3 linked regions of the Drosophila melanogaster genome follow. The protein of the gene in region 3 interacts with the protein of the main gene of each other region in a pairwise test. Each region holds a gene or a part of one and is shown on either strand. Other genes may lie near its edges.

Evidence for each region. The genes of interacting proteins can lie anywhere in the genome.
Region 1: the proteins of CG31550 (region 3) and Cpr72Ea interact in a two-hybrid assay, tested with the Drosophila melanogaster proteins (one large-scale study listed by BioGRID).
Region 2: the proteins of CG31550 (region 3) and Jon99Fii interact in a two-hybrid assay, tested with the Drosophila melanogaster proteins (one large-scale study listed by BioGRID).

What each region holds. Positions count from the first base shown.
Region 1 is NT_037436.4:16,360,777-16,364,774, reverse strand, and holds Cpr72Ea (cuticular protein 72Ea), read right to left. Parts: upstream 2,173-3,998; 5' UTR 2,126-2,172; coding exon 1,100-2,125; 3' UTR 1,025-1,099; downstream 1-1,024.
Region 2 is NT_033777.3:30,485,992-30,489,821, forward strand, and holds Jon99Fii (jonah 99Fii), read right to left. Parts: upstream 1,938-3,830; 5' UTR 1,913-1,937; coding exon 1,109-1,912; 3' UTR 1,025-1,108; downstream 1-1,024. Other genes in the region: Jon99Fi (jonah 99Fi), read left to right, coding at 2,997-3,800.
Region 3 is NT_033777.3:5,483,644-5,490,431, forward strand, and holds CG31550 (uncharacterized protein), read left to right. Parts: upstream 1-1,899; 5' UTR 1,900-1,995; coding exon 1,996-2,537; intron 2,538-2,591; coding exon 2,592-3,241; intron 3,242-3,407; coding exon 3,408-3,534; coding exon of another isoform or gene 3,535-3,538; exon of another isoform or gene 3,539-4,191; coding exon 4,192-4,664; intron 4,665-4,888; coding exon 4,889-5,447; intron 5,448-5,500; coding exon 5,501-5,630; intron 5,631-5,723; coding exon 5,724-5,750; 3' UTR 5,751-5,846; downstream 5,847-6,788. Other genes in the region: Hcs (holocarboxylase synthetase), read left to right, coding at 685-1,016, 1,087-1,264; NKCC (sodium potassium chloride cotransporter), read right to left, coding at 6,140-6,256, 6,327-6,600.

The DNA.
Region 1 (3,998 bases), on a different chromosome or scaffold from region 3:
GGATTATTGTTCCTTTTTCCTCTTCCTCTGCTTCCTCGCATTTTCGTACATAAATATTTTGTCGATTTCGATTTCAACAAGTTCAGCATAAATTTGAGCACAAAAGCCGCAATTTGTTTTCATCTGCGCAAGGGGCAGCAACACTTATGTACATACATGTATGTATGTATCTTATAGGTATCGCACTGCATCGGATGTGGACATGTACAGAGACAAGCAACAACGTTCCGCAATGCCACAAAGCAAGAACTTAATCAGGCTGCTGGCTGCTCTTCAGTGGCTCCGGATGTGCACTGAGAGAAAGTGGAGTTGAAAAATGAAGAAAAATTATGAAATGAAGAGAGGTTGTAATTTTTTAATTAATTAAAAAGCTAAGACTTTCGTTATTTTCGAGCTAGAAACAACGTTATTTAAATAATTAGTGTCGAATGATAACCAAGAGTTACCATGTTTTAACAGCACTTTTAAACTTTTATAAAAATGTGTCATACTTATTGGTCATTTGTTTCTCTCAGTGTGAGCTGCAAATCATCCGGATAGGGGTCAAGGAACCGGGTGGGGCTATAGGACACGCCGGCTACCAATTCCAGTTTTAGTTATTTAGGTTGTTGCCTTTGCCGTTGTTTATGCTGCTATTAAATTTAATTGAAATCAAAATTCGGCCCACATTTATGAAGAGTTTATGCTGCACATATGTGGAATGTGATCGGTGGGTCGGGGGGCCAAAAGGTTGAGGTAGGACAGGGTCCGAGTGAACGTGTTCCGTGAGTCCAGGAGTTGGGCAGCTAAAGGGTTCAGTTCAGCCGGATCTTGAACTTTAGGTGTCGCGAGTTTAGTTATGATTATATTCAAATAAAGATACAAATGTTAAAACTAGAAATTATAAAGAAATTTGTTGATTGAAGAATAATTTTAGAAAGAATACTTAGAAAGAATATATTTCGAACAAATATTGTGTTACCAAAATGAATTTGCTAAAAATTTCTTTATATTATCCCATTACCACTTCAAAAGAAACGTTGCAGACTGATTGACAATTTTTTAATTTAAATTCGAAATTCTTAAATAATGAACCAAATCGTGCGAATTCAGCTGCCATTCAATAGTAAAATCCGGGGGTGTAGTACCTGGGAATGGTGTAGCCGTAGACCGGAGCAGGAACCACGACATGGTGGCTGCGAGCCACAGCAACTGGAATCTTGGCCAGCACCTGGTTGCGCACGCCTTCATCGTGGACGCGTTGAAGATGAAGCGACTTGGCCGCAGCCACTTCTGCGGTATCAGAAACGGGATGAGGCAATTGGGAGTGGCCACCATGGGATCCGGATGGGTCTGAGCCAGAAACCGGGTGCTCGTGGTGTTCGATAGAATGGGGCACCTCTGGATGAGCACTTCGACCGCTCTCAACGACAGTGTGATGATGAGGAACCTCAACGGGATGGTTGCCAACAGGATGCTGAGCTACAGCAACGGGGTGCTCATGGTGCTCGACGGGATGATGTCCATCTGGATGAGCACTTCGGCCGGTTTCGACAACAGTGTGATGATGTGGAACTTCCACGGGATGATGGCCAACAGGATGCTGAGCTACAGCAACGCGGTGCTCGTGGTGCTCGACGGGATGATGTCCATCTGGATGAGCACTTCGTCCGCTTTCAACAACAGTGTGATGATGTGGAACTTCAATGGGATGGTGGCCAACAGGATGCTGAACTACAGCATGCGACACCTCCGCGTGATGCTCAACATGGTGGTCTACTGGATGCGACGCGCTCCTGGGACTAAATTCTAGCGACTCCTGGGGAACTTTAGCCTTTGGCAGATTAGTGGCTGCCACATGGAAACCTTTGTTGTCGGCCACATAGTTAACCGTTTGCAGCTTTCCCGCCGCATCCCGGTAACTATAGTATCCTTGGGTGATTCCGTCTAGGGTGCGGGTCTCCTGTTTGCTGGACAATGGTTCCGAATAGCCATAGGAGTACTGACCCAACTCATCCTTGGCGATATACTGGCGCTGGGTGGGCGTGAACACGGCGGATCCCTCGGCAGTGTACGCATAGGGATAGTACAAGGCCAGTCCGTGGGCCAAGCTGAGGCTTCCTAACAGCAGAAGTGGATACTTCATGGTTGGGCAGTGGAAGATTGCTTCGAGTGAGTCTTGTTCGTCAGTTCACTGGTAACTGTTGATTCTGAGCCTAGGTCTTCATCCTTTTATACCCAGCAGGTTCTTTCGCGAGTTCTAGGTTCTGGTTCTGGCTGAGGTTCCTGCCGGTCAGATGCTTCTATTCTGATACACTGCGAAAAAATTCTAAAAGTATGCCATATTATTATCTAAGAGAGTATACAAATGTTTTATGCTCTTTTACCCTAATATAGTAACGTGATTTTTATGACTTAAATTAAATCCAAAAATAAGTAGTTCGTAATTTGTTTAATAATGATTTGTACAAAGCTTAAAACATAAATTTAAATGCATATAAATAATAATATTGCTAAAAAAGACTGTTCTTAAATTCCTGAAATTTTAATTTTATGATTATGACAATCATTAAAAAAATATTTTATTATTGATAAAAAAGGTGGTTTATTGTACTTAAATAGAATTCATCAAATTTGTACAAGCACACGTATTTCATTAAAGAATAACCTAATAGTAATAATATCTGTCACATTTTAAAATAGTAAACAGCCAATTAATTTTTTCTCCAAATGTATCCATCAGATGCACTTCAATGCAAACGAGGAGATGCGAATGCGTCGTCGTGTCCACTTGTGTCGTTAACGGACATTGCAGCTCCGCCTTTCACTCCCCTTTTGGGGATCGACGCCTCGTGAAGGCGTTGTCAATTTGGTTTAATTGTGGCCAAGGCTGGAGTGGGCCCAAATGAGGGAGGCAGACCCTGGTTCTCCGCAGCGGGAGGAGCAATCGCTGCCTGGCATCTCCATCTGCATCTGCATCTGGATCTGCAAGCGAGCCAAGGGCCTTGGCTGGGTGGACCATCAAGGCCAAAGACCGCATCCAGACCAGCGTGTAATTGATATGCAATCGTTGTTGCTGCCACAGCATTGTGGCATCTCAGCCTCCTTTTTGTTCGCACACTGCAACGGGGCCACGACAACAACAGCAACTTCAACTGCAACAGCAAATGCAACAACTGTGGCAACAACCGACGACGACAACAACGGCATCTCAAGGTGAGTGAAGGCCAAGGGCCACATTTGGCCACAGCTTGGACACGGGAGTCATGCACTCCAGTGGCGAACAAAATGGGGGTCTTAGGGGGGTCATAAGTACCCTTAAAAATTATAATACTTGGTTAGATACATATGTATGTACATAAGAAATATATGTTTTATGCGAAGAGCTTACAAATATGACACAGAAAAGGGTTAATTAAATCGTTAAGTCCGCTAAATAAATAATATAATGTGAATTTTTAGACACCTTATAGTATACACTGAAGATATATACTTATTTCAACCGGACACTAAGAAAACCCCCTAAGAATATGTTTCCCATCCGCCTCTGATGCACTGCAGCTGCATTGGTATCTCCTGTTCCTCCTTCGCTGGTCATTTTTATTTTTAGCAGCGGGCTTATCGGATGCCTCAGATCTCTGGTGCTTAAACTTCGCTCCCGATTAGGAGGAGGAGGAGGAGCAACTGCAAGAACCACATTGGATTGGCCTTGACGGCTCGGCTGATAAGTGCGTTTTAATGTTAGCCCCGTTGGCACTCAGTTTCAATCAAAGCCCAATTCTCTACAACCATTCCAGCCTGGCTTAATGAGCTGGTTAGTTCTGGCCTGGAATTGAAGTTGGATTGGCAATATAGTCCGGTCCACTTGGTTCACTCCCTTTGTTCTGTCTCGAGTGGACTGTGCCCTGATTTGTGTACCACCATTGGTTCTTTGAACTGCCTTCGTGGCTAATTAAAGGTGCACTTAAGATAGGCCAGGTGGCAAGAATCATGTTTTTCATTTTTCAGGACTGGGAGTA
Region 2 (3,830 bases), about 25 Mb from region 3:
CCGATCCGGCTCTGATGTTCGATTAGTGGGTGGCGATTTATCAGCCGGAGGACTCATCCATCAAGTGCGCCAAGTGGAGCTCCGGCTGCATCAGCTGTTAGCCGATACAAGGGGTTTTTGTGCGGGTGAGTAAATACCAATCGGATTATTCTTGCGGCATATGCCTCACTGCGTTGCATACTTTGCGGTGCTCCGGAAACCAACTATCGAATTTGGCCTGAAATGTGAAAAGGCCAAGGGAGGCGAAAAATGGCCGGCCATTTTGCATTCGGTATTAGCCAAAATAAAATATATTAGCCTGAATTTTAACTAGGATGATAGGATGTACTGGCTAAGCTGTCATTTATAATAAAAAAGTTGGTTTCAACGGAAGCCTATTATAATAGACGAAAATTGTGAGTGAAAGCTGTTATCAGTTCATCGTGGCCAAATAAATACAAACATCATTTAAAGTCGTAACTGGTTATCGGCACAAATTCAGTTTGATTTATAATAGTTCTTAACAGATTTCTTGGGTACATTGGCATTTTTTTTTGTACCGTATAACTCGATTAAAGATTAAATTGATAAATTTACATTTTTGCAATGACTCAAATATTATTTTATGTACCTCTAAGCGTTACAAACTTGACAATTCGTGAATTCATTCGTCATAAATTTTCAATAGACACACTTCCTCTGCACTTATCATGTGATAAAATATTGCCGTAGTTTAGTGCTCCCTATTGGCACCTCCGACTAAAAAGTTAAGGGTTTTTAATAATACTCATTCCTTTTTTGGGGGAAATAATAAAAGGATTATTTCTAGCAAAGAAGGTCTTGCGCAGGCGAATAAGAAATATCCTTCGTAGTTACTATGTGGCGCCATCTAAATAGACTGCTCAGTCTATAGAGCAAAACGCTCTTAACTATTTCCGAAATTAAATTTCGCTTTGAGATAGGTTTGTAACAAAATTGGCAAACGACAAAACAAACAAAACATGAACATTCAAAATAGTACAAAGATATAAAAGTCCGCAAATTTATGTTCTACAAATTTTATTAAAAAATTCCAAAAAGATAAACGGAAAAGAAAACACTAAGCTATTAGTAGAAAAACACTAAGCTCTTAGTACGAGATGCCGGTGTTGTCGCGGATCCAGTCCAAGTATCCGGTGACACGGCTGAAGACAGCGGGAGCACCAGACTGGCAGCCGGCGGAGGAAACGAAGGAGGTTACTCCGACCAGGCGGTTGCCCTCGTGTGTGACCAGGGGACCACCGGAGTCACCTCCGCAGGTGGACTTTCCGCCGTTGGTGTTGATGCAAATCATGTTGTCGTGGAGAGACCACGAGCGGCTGCAATCACTCTGGGACATGATCTGGACATCGACAGCCTGGAGCCAGTCGGGCAGTGGGCTGCCATCGTAGGTGCCGCCCCATCCGGAGGCCACGGCCCACCATCCGGCGTAGTCCTGGTAGCGGTCGTTGTAGCTGGGCAACTCCACCTTGTTGACCAGGTGCCAGAAGTCGACGTGCGGGGTGCGGATCAGGGAGATGTCGTTGTGCAGGTTGCCGCTGTTGTAGTGGTGGTGCTGGACGAAGTTTCCGCTTCCAACCCAGTGGGTGTACTGGGGCTGGTTGCGCAGACTGGCTCCGTAGTTGATGGTCACTCCACTGGCTCCGTTGGTGCAGTGGGCGGCGGTCAGGACCCAGGTGTTGCCGATGATCGAGCCACCGCACCACCAGTTTCCATTGCCACTGAAAAGGAGACCCACGATGTAGGGTACCTTGCCCTCGTAGGCTGGGTAGCCGTTGGTAATGCGACCCTGGATCTTGACATCCTTCACCGGGGTGGGGACCAACTTTTGCTCCGGGGTAGGAATGGCTGTGGCGGCGGCCACGGCCAGAGCCAGGAATACGAACAGTTTCATCTTGGCAGGTCTAACAACTTGTGCCTTGTTCAGAAACGGACCGAGCTTTTATACCATCGCCTTATCAATACCATGGTTTCTTGTCGCTTTTTAGTAATACTTGTTGCCAATATATTTTGCCAGATTTCTGTCGTGGCAAGTTAAGCTGGCTGATAAAACTTAAATTATTGCCTGTACTTGGCAATTGATGAGTGCCATTATTAGAGTAAGTCCATAGTCTGTAATGTAATCCTTCGATCTTACAATTTATATAAAATTAAAGATTGTCAAGACGATTATCACATTTGCAAATCGAACCAACATACAAAAATCAAATAAATATACATTTACATTACATACTATCATATTCTATCAGTAAAATATTTACTAAGCAGCAGCTTTAAAAGTCGCGATCGCATGACGAAATGAATCAACGCTTTAAATTTTGTCCTTTAAGGATACTTTTCAATTCTTAAGCTAAACAGGAAACTAGATATATAAATAATTAAATTCTAAAAGTCGTAGTCTGTTACGTCTTTGACGATCTGAAAGGTTTATGTTTGATATTTACGAGGTACGCATATCTTCCTCAACAATCACACTTATGTCTCTAATCTAGTTTAGGACACACGTACGATGAATGATAATTACTTGAGTAGCGACCATAAATAAACGTCTTTCTCTACTGATAAAAATGTACTACTAGGAGCTACCAGCTAAAAATTATGAACTGATTGCGGCTTTCATTCATTATTTTTGTACTCATTCAGCATTGCAATGGAAAGTCCATACTACGATTACTTTACCATTATATCAAAACTTTAAAGACTAACATAAAAATAAAAACAAAATGTTTAGGGAAATATGGTAAGACAACGGAGTTTTCACACATTACAGAATATACGAAACTTTGAAATCTTGAGTACACGCCATATATTCACGAAAGACTCGTTCCGTTCCTCCCACTTCTCAGACGCCAAACTTATCATGCCAAATTCTGGACAAAATATACAGCCGTCGTTTCCTGGGAATGATAAGCCATTGTATTCAGTATAAAAGTGCGTTCAGTTTTTGGAAAAACCATGAGTTGTAAGACCTGTCCAAGATGAAACTGCTCGTATTCCTGGCTCTGGCCGTGGCCGCAGCCACAGCCATTCCTACCCCAGAGCAAAAGTTGGTCCCCACCCCGGTGAAGGATGTCAAGATCCAGGGTCGCATTACCAACGGCTACCCAGCCTACGAGGGCAAGGTTCCCTACATCGTGGGTCTGCTGTTCAGCGGCAATGGAAACTGGTGGTGCGGTGGCTCGATCATCGGAAACACCTGGGTCCTGACCGCCGCCCACTGCACCAACGGAGCCAGTGGAGTGACCATCAACTACGGAGCCAGTCTGCGCAACCAGCCCCAGTACACCCACTGGGTTGGAAGCGGAAACTTCGTCCAGCACCACCACTACAACAGCGGCAACCTGCACAACGACATCTCCCTGATCCGTACCCCGCACGTCGACTTCTGGCACCTGGTCAACAAGGTGGAGCTGCCCAGCTACAACGACCGCTACCAGGACTACGCCGGATGGTGGGCCGTGGCCTCCGGATGGGGCGGCACCTACGATGGCAGCCCACTGCCCGACTGGCTCCAGGCTGTCGATGTCCAGATCATGTCCCAGAGTGATTGCAGCCGCACTTGGTCTCTCCACGACAACATGATTTGCATCAACACCAACGGCGGAAAGTCCACCTGCGGAGGTGACTCCGGTGGTCCCCTGGTGACACACGAGGGCAACCGCCTGGTCGGAGTGACCTCCTTCGTTTCCTCCGCCGGCTGCCAGTCTGGTGCTCCCGCTGTCTTCAGCCGTGTCACTGGATACTTGGACTGGATCCGCGACAACACCGGCATCTCGTACTAAGTGAATGAGCAGTAACGAATTTAGCAAATT
Region 3 (6,788 bases):
TATTCGCGACGGAGTGGAGCCCGATTGATTTTTTCAGACGCCCCCTCGGGGACTCGACGATTCGATGGGACCAATGGCTGGGACTCCGCCCCGCATTGTGGCCCTCGCCAAGCGACCTTGACGTTCGGTGCTCCGGCTATCGCGCACGCTAACGCCCGCAACTCTAAACGGCTTAGGCAATGCGAAAAAGCAATAATTTGTACAAGTTCCTCGGCTGTTGTTGAAATTTCTCTACACCCAAGTAGCGCATCGAGAGAAGTGTGACCATACCCGGGAGGACTCCTTCTCACTGCACACCAAAATGTACTAAAAGCACTTATCCGAAAAACTTAGGGGCACTCCTCTGTATTTAAAAAAAATAGAACGTTAAGTATTATTATTCTTATGTTGTAATTATATTATGTCTTCGAGTGTATATAGCATATATATTTCAATTCTATTTGAAAAATTAATCCAGAAATTATTTTCACATTTTTATTTTATTAGTCGAAATAAGTCAAATATTTTAATATTTATATTTTATTATTTGGAAATGGAAATTAGGTAGATATTATTTTAATATTTTAATTTTATAACTAAAAATAATTTTTTTAAGTTAATATTTGATGTTCCAATTTATATTTTATGATATGTAATATTACGGAGATAGGCGAGTTTTACTTAATTTATTCATATCACCTTCAGGTGCTGGATATTTCCATTAAGTGGCCGAATGACATTTATGCAAATGGAAATCAGAAAATTGGGGGCCTCGTCATTAATACCACACTTCAGGGATCCCAAGCCATCGTCAATATCGGAAGTGGAATTAATTTGAACAATTCAAGACCAACAGTTTGCATCAATGACTTGATAAGAGAATATAATACCCGTGTCCCGAACAACAAGTTACCTATACTTAAGTACGAGCTACTTATTGCCATGATATTCAATGAAATCGAAAGACTTTTGGGAGAAGTACAAAACGGAGACTTTGATAGTTTTTATGCATTATACTATTCGCTATGGTTACACAGGTAAATTTAAAACATTTTTAAAATACATTTAATTTGCATATTACATTTACTAACATGTTTTTATGTACAGCGGGCAATCTGTTAAGATTTGCCTACAAAAAGATCAGGAAAAAGAGGCCGAAATTGTGGGAATCGATGACTTTGGATTTTTGGAGGTGAAATTACCAACTGGTACTATAGAAATTGTGCAGCCCGATGGAAACAGCTTTGATATGTTGAAGGGATTGATTATACCCAAGTATCAATAGTGAAATGAAGCAGATGTGAAAACTCATATTATTCCCCGAACCCTCTAGTTTAATTGGCCCTTAAGCAACTTGTACTTTTTAGGCAAATTTAGGTCAATTTATAACTACGTAAAAACGTTTATCCTTATAAATATTTACAAGGTGATTCTTCTTAAGTGGCTTTACGAAATAATAATGGATAATTTAATCCACTAAATTAAATACTGCCAAAGAGAATTATATGTTAAAGGAAGTCTCAAAATATTTATAATGACAGGTACATTTGTTTGTTCCCTATAAACCAGTGTTTGGAAATTACTTCGTAAGATAATCGCGTTTGTTACCATTGTTATCGCCATCGATTCCTCTGCATACGGGTGTTTTTGAAATTTGAATTTAATAAATACATATTCGATCATTGCTGACCTTAGACCACTGAGATTAACTGCCGCACAGGTCTTATCTTAAATTTAAGATGGATTTTTTTATTACATAATTTTTTTATTCTAAAATTGTTTATTTTATTATTCTTCTAAAATTTTTTTTTGAACTGAACTTTCATTAGAAAGTTATATTTTTTAAAATTTTTTTGAACTGAACTAAAGAGAGCTTGACAGTGTAGTTTCCTATAAAATTGTCAACACTGGTGATGCGAAGACTTGGTATAATTCCAAGTATGTGAGTTGGTTACACTGTTGCTTTGCTGGAAAAGAAAATTGTGGAATAAAACGGAGTCTGCGGCATTGGGAATTATGTCACAGCGAAATCACAGAGTGGACCGCTTCGCCCAGATGACAAAGCAGGAGGAGATCATAGCCAAGAAACGGCAAGAGATCCTCGAGAAGCAGAAGACGGCACAGCTGGCGAAGGCGGTGGCCGCGGCGCAGAACTTGGCAGCGCAGCTGAAAACCGAGACGACTGTGGGAAAACCCATTGGCAACGAGGTGGAGTATGAGGAGGATGCCCGATACCTGGACACCGCCGTCCAGGACACCTCTCTAGCGGCCGGCGAGGATGGCCTGGAGGCTGTTCACATTGAGGCCACGGCCAGCAAGGGAAAGACGGAGGACGCGGTGGCCCCCAAGACGCTGAATAGCTTCACTGGCAAAACGGGCAAGATCACATTTGGCATGAAGCGTCAGCAGCTGCCTCAGCCCAGTGTTGAGCAGCCACCACCGAAGGTTAAAAACACTTTCTGCAACGATGGTTCCTTTTTAGAGAACTTCAAGAAAATACTCGAAAAGCACGAAAAGCCTCCGCAGCCCTTGATTGTTCCGCCGGTTCCAGTGCCCAGGTGAGTCCACTATCGTAAAAATATTAATGTATATTAATTTGTGGGTAATTATAGCGCCGAGGAGAACAAAGCCGTGGACACGGAAACAGCAGAGCAGAACAACAGTCCCCAGCTAGAGGCGGCCATCGCCATAAGCTCGGCAGCAGCCATGGCTACCTCCATTACGGTGACCAGCTCGGCGCCAACTCATTTGGCTTTTGGACTACCCGTGCAAGCAGTGCAGCCACCACCGCCGCCTCCATTTGCATTCAATCCTACGCTTTTGCAACAGGGACCACCGCAGATGCAGCTGCCAGCTGCATTCTTCCACGGCCATTTGCCTCTGCACTTGCATCCGGCGGCAGTTGCTCCTCCGCCACCTCCACCGCCTCCACAGCTGCCCATCGCTCTGACCAACATGGGACAGATTTACATGCAGCTTGGTCCGTCTCCAGTGGAGGCTATGCAGCTGAATGCCATACCGGCGCCCAAAGAGTTTGACTTAAATGCCATACCTAAGCCACAAATAAATCTGGAGGCTATCCAGATGCCCAGCATCGGTGGTCATTCGACGGAGCAGCTTGGCCTCCTGCCGGACCGCATGTCCATGCCAGTGAATCCACACCCACCGCCTCCGCCGCCACCTGTAGTGGAGGAAATGGAGCAACAGCGCCAGCAGGTGGCACCTCCACATCCACCTCAGCCCACAGCTGCGCCGCCACAAGGTGTGTAACACTTGCAAAACAGTCCTCGTTGCCTGTTTTGATTTGCCATCTCCATTCCCTATCCACATCCAATATATACTCTCATTCTAACCACATCCAACTTCCTACTCATTCAATTTGTATAGAACTTTAATCGTTGAGCACGATTTTAAAGCAATTTATGTAGTTTTTTCAGAAACGTGCATACAATTGCCAACGTGCTTAGAAAACCTAATCGCACTGGTCGCGGAAAATGGTGAAGATTATGAAGATAAAATACGTTTGCATAGAAGCGAGTTGCATCCGGCCTTGTGGTAAATGACCTAAACATGTTTTAACTGGGACTAGTGGTAGTAGATGCACATAAGGGATGGACCGGGGGAGGGGGGGGGGGGGGGTCGTACAGTCCGTCTTAATTGGGGATTTTTCACGTTTACTTAATTGCTTTCGCAAGTTGAATCATTGTATAAGTGCCAGTTCTTTAGGATAGTAACAATTGAATTTTAAAAATTAGTCCGATTTATGTTATAGTTTGGTTGTTTTTAATTGCCATTACTCCGATATTTCACACGACACACACAGACGCACAGATTTCCGTTCCGCTTACTCAATCGTGAATTTAAAATCACAAACAGTGGACATGTACATGTTTTTCTTTGATGCGTTTTAAGTTAGATGTCTGATTAATACTACCAATGCCATGTAACATCTGACAAAACGGACCAACTTGATGGGGGTGTAGGAGGATTAGCCAGACCAGTCGCGTGGACTCATCGAGCGCACAGTGTTCCGTCGTTCCTCGATCGTCATCTAAAGTCTGGAGGAGCCAGCCGGCGGATGACAACTAATAATCTCTGAATAAGCCGCTATTGGGGCGCCTCAAACAGTTATTCATATAATGTCTTTGTACACGTGACTAACGTCGAGCACTTTTCATTGTACTTTTCACTTCTTTTGAATTTTGATAATAGGTTTCTTTATGATAAGAGCTGCGAGCAGTATCGAAGCTATAGCGACCAACTCCTCGACTACAAACAGCAGCGGGCTGAGCGACAACGGGAGCGGGAGCATCAGAAGCTAAGCCGGGACCATCAGCCGCAGGCGACGGAGCAGACGGACGCACAGCAACACCGCGAGGAGCAGCACAGCAACTCGGCGGCTGACAAGTACGACCCAGAGTCGGCCATCAGCGCGGACTTCGACTCGGATGACGAGTACATGCGGGGCATGATGGATCGCAACCGGGACAACATCAAGCGCCGCATTGAGTGTCGCAACGAGCTGAGCGACGAGGAGAGGCGCGAACGGGAGGAGGCTGCATCCGGAGAACCGCCGGATGGCGATGACCAGGACGACCAAGACGACAAGGAGTCGCAGAGGCAGCGTAGGAAGCGCGAGCGCAAGAGCCGATGGGGCGAGAAAGAGCAACAGTTGCCATCCTCAAGTATGTTTATATACTCTTAACCCTAAATAGTATATATATTCGTGATCACAGCCCGAGTCGATCTGTCAATTCCCGTCTGTCCGTTTATCTGCTTGTCTGTCCGTCCGTATGAACGCTGTGATCTCGCAGATTTTAAAAACCAGAAAGATGTAGACGACTGCCACTACCACTGAAATAATATGTATAATTATGACGCTACTGACAACAATCCTTATTATCTACAGGCACTTCGGGAAACTTTGGTAACCAAAATAAACCCATACTAAGTGGCATCACGCGAACAGATCCCGCGTTGTTGCAGTATGCTCGGCTCAACTATGGATCGACTCAGCTGAGCGAGGAGCAGTGGAAGCAGTGCGAGGAGCACTACAAAGTAAACCTGCTGTATCAGGACATGATGCGCAAGCGTCAGGAAATCGATCGACTGGCCCGTGGCGGTAAATTCAAGTACGAATACGACTCGGACGAGGACATTGAGGGCGGGACGTGGGAGCACAAGTTGCGAACAGCCGAAATGGAGGCCACATCCCTATGGGCAAACGCCCTGACCAAGCAAAGCGAAGGCAAGCATCACATCGGCGACTTTCTGCCCCCCGAGGAGCTCAAGAAGTTCATGGAGCAGTACGAGGCGAAGAAGAACAACAGGCAGCCGGATCTAAGCGACTACAAGGAGTACAAACTAAAGGAGGACAACATTGGCTTCCAAATGCTGCAAAAACTCGGCTGGAAAGAGGGGCAGGGCTTAGGACAGGACGGAGCTGGAATTGTGGACCCCGTTAACAAGTAGGTTACCTATCCTATGTTTGAAAGTATCTCACTGTATAATATGGCAACAGGGCACCGCAACGCGATGGAAACCAAGGACTTGGTGTCAGCAGCGCTGCCCAGCCAGAGGACTGCGACAATGAATATGACGCCTACAGGAAGCGAATGATGTTGGCCTATCGTTTTCGTCCAAATCCTTTGGTAAGTAATCCCTGGAAACTGGCAAGGGAAGAGAACATAACTAATATGATAGCTATAAATGCTTAATATATATGACTTCTTATTTGTTTGCAGAACAATCCACGTCGCGCCTACTACTAGCACTACCTAAAATGACCCCTACCCACATAACTACCAATATCCTAGGTCCACTTATTCAACTGCAACTTTGCTGAATAAAATGTCCTCGTTTAAATTAAACAGCGGACACGTCAGTTTATTTTAGGGGGTCGTTTATTCAGTAAGTAGTTCGTAATTAACTTAAATCTATTGCAAGCGTTTAGGAGTTCGATCGTACAAAGGAGTACGTAAGTAAGAAGTGTGGAGGTCTCTTAGAACGAGAGTCTGGGCTCTGGAATTCCATTTTGATTCGGCGGCACATTGCACAACTCCCAATCAAGGGACTGATTCGATTCTACCGGGAACTGGGAACTGGACCACCTAAACGCTAATAATACTAAGTTGTACTCGAACTGGAAGCGAGGGCTAGTCTAGGAGTAGAGCGTCAGCACGGGCGTCTGGTTGCCGCGCGCCAATGCCACCGGACACTTCATGTCCGACGTGAGCATCTCCAGCCATGACATGTACAGCGGTGCCGAGATGGCCTCCTGGAAATACAAAAATACGCATGTGTTAGTGGTCAATCACGATGTTAGTGCTCATTTCCGAATGTCTCACCTTGCGCGGCATGGGCAGGGACATGACCACCAGGGAAGCGTTTGATGAGTGCTTGACCACCAGCTCATGGATGCGCAGCTGGCGATTCGTCTTCTCCGACATGCTCTGCAGCTCATCGTCCGTGATGCCGAACTCGTTGCGGGCTCCGCGGCGGAAGGGCTCGATCAGCCGCTTGTGCTTCAGCACCGTGTCCGCCCGCGGCTGCTCGGAGACGCCCTTCAGCATAATGAGCTCAGAGTACTTGATGCGGAACTTGGTCAACAAGCTAGCCATGCTGTAGGGTAGAATTTACCATTTGTACTATCATATTTGTGACAATATTTTCAAAATAATAGTATAGTATAGTGAGAGTAATAATCATCTTTTGATTTCCGTCCTGGCTTCTTCTTCGGTCTCACGGAACTATATGGGATGGTGGAAGGCATATCCTCTCCTTTTTATTGATCGGAACTCTTTTCGCTC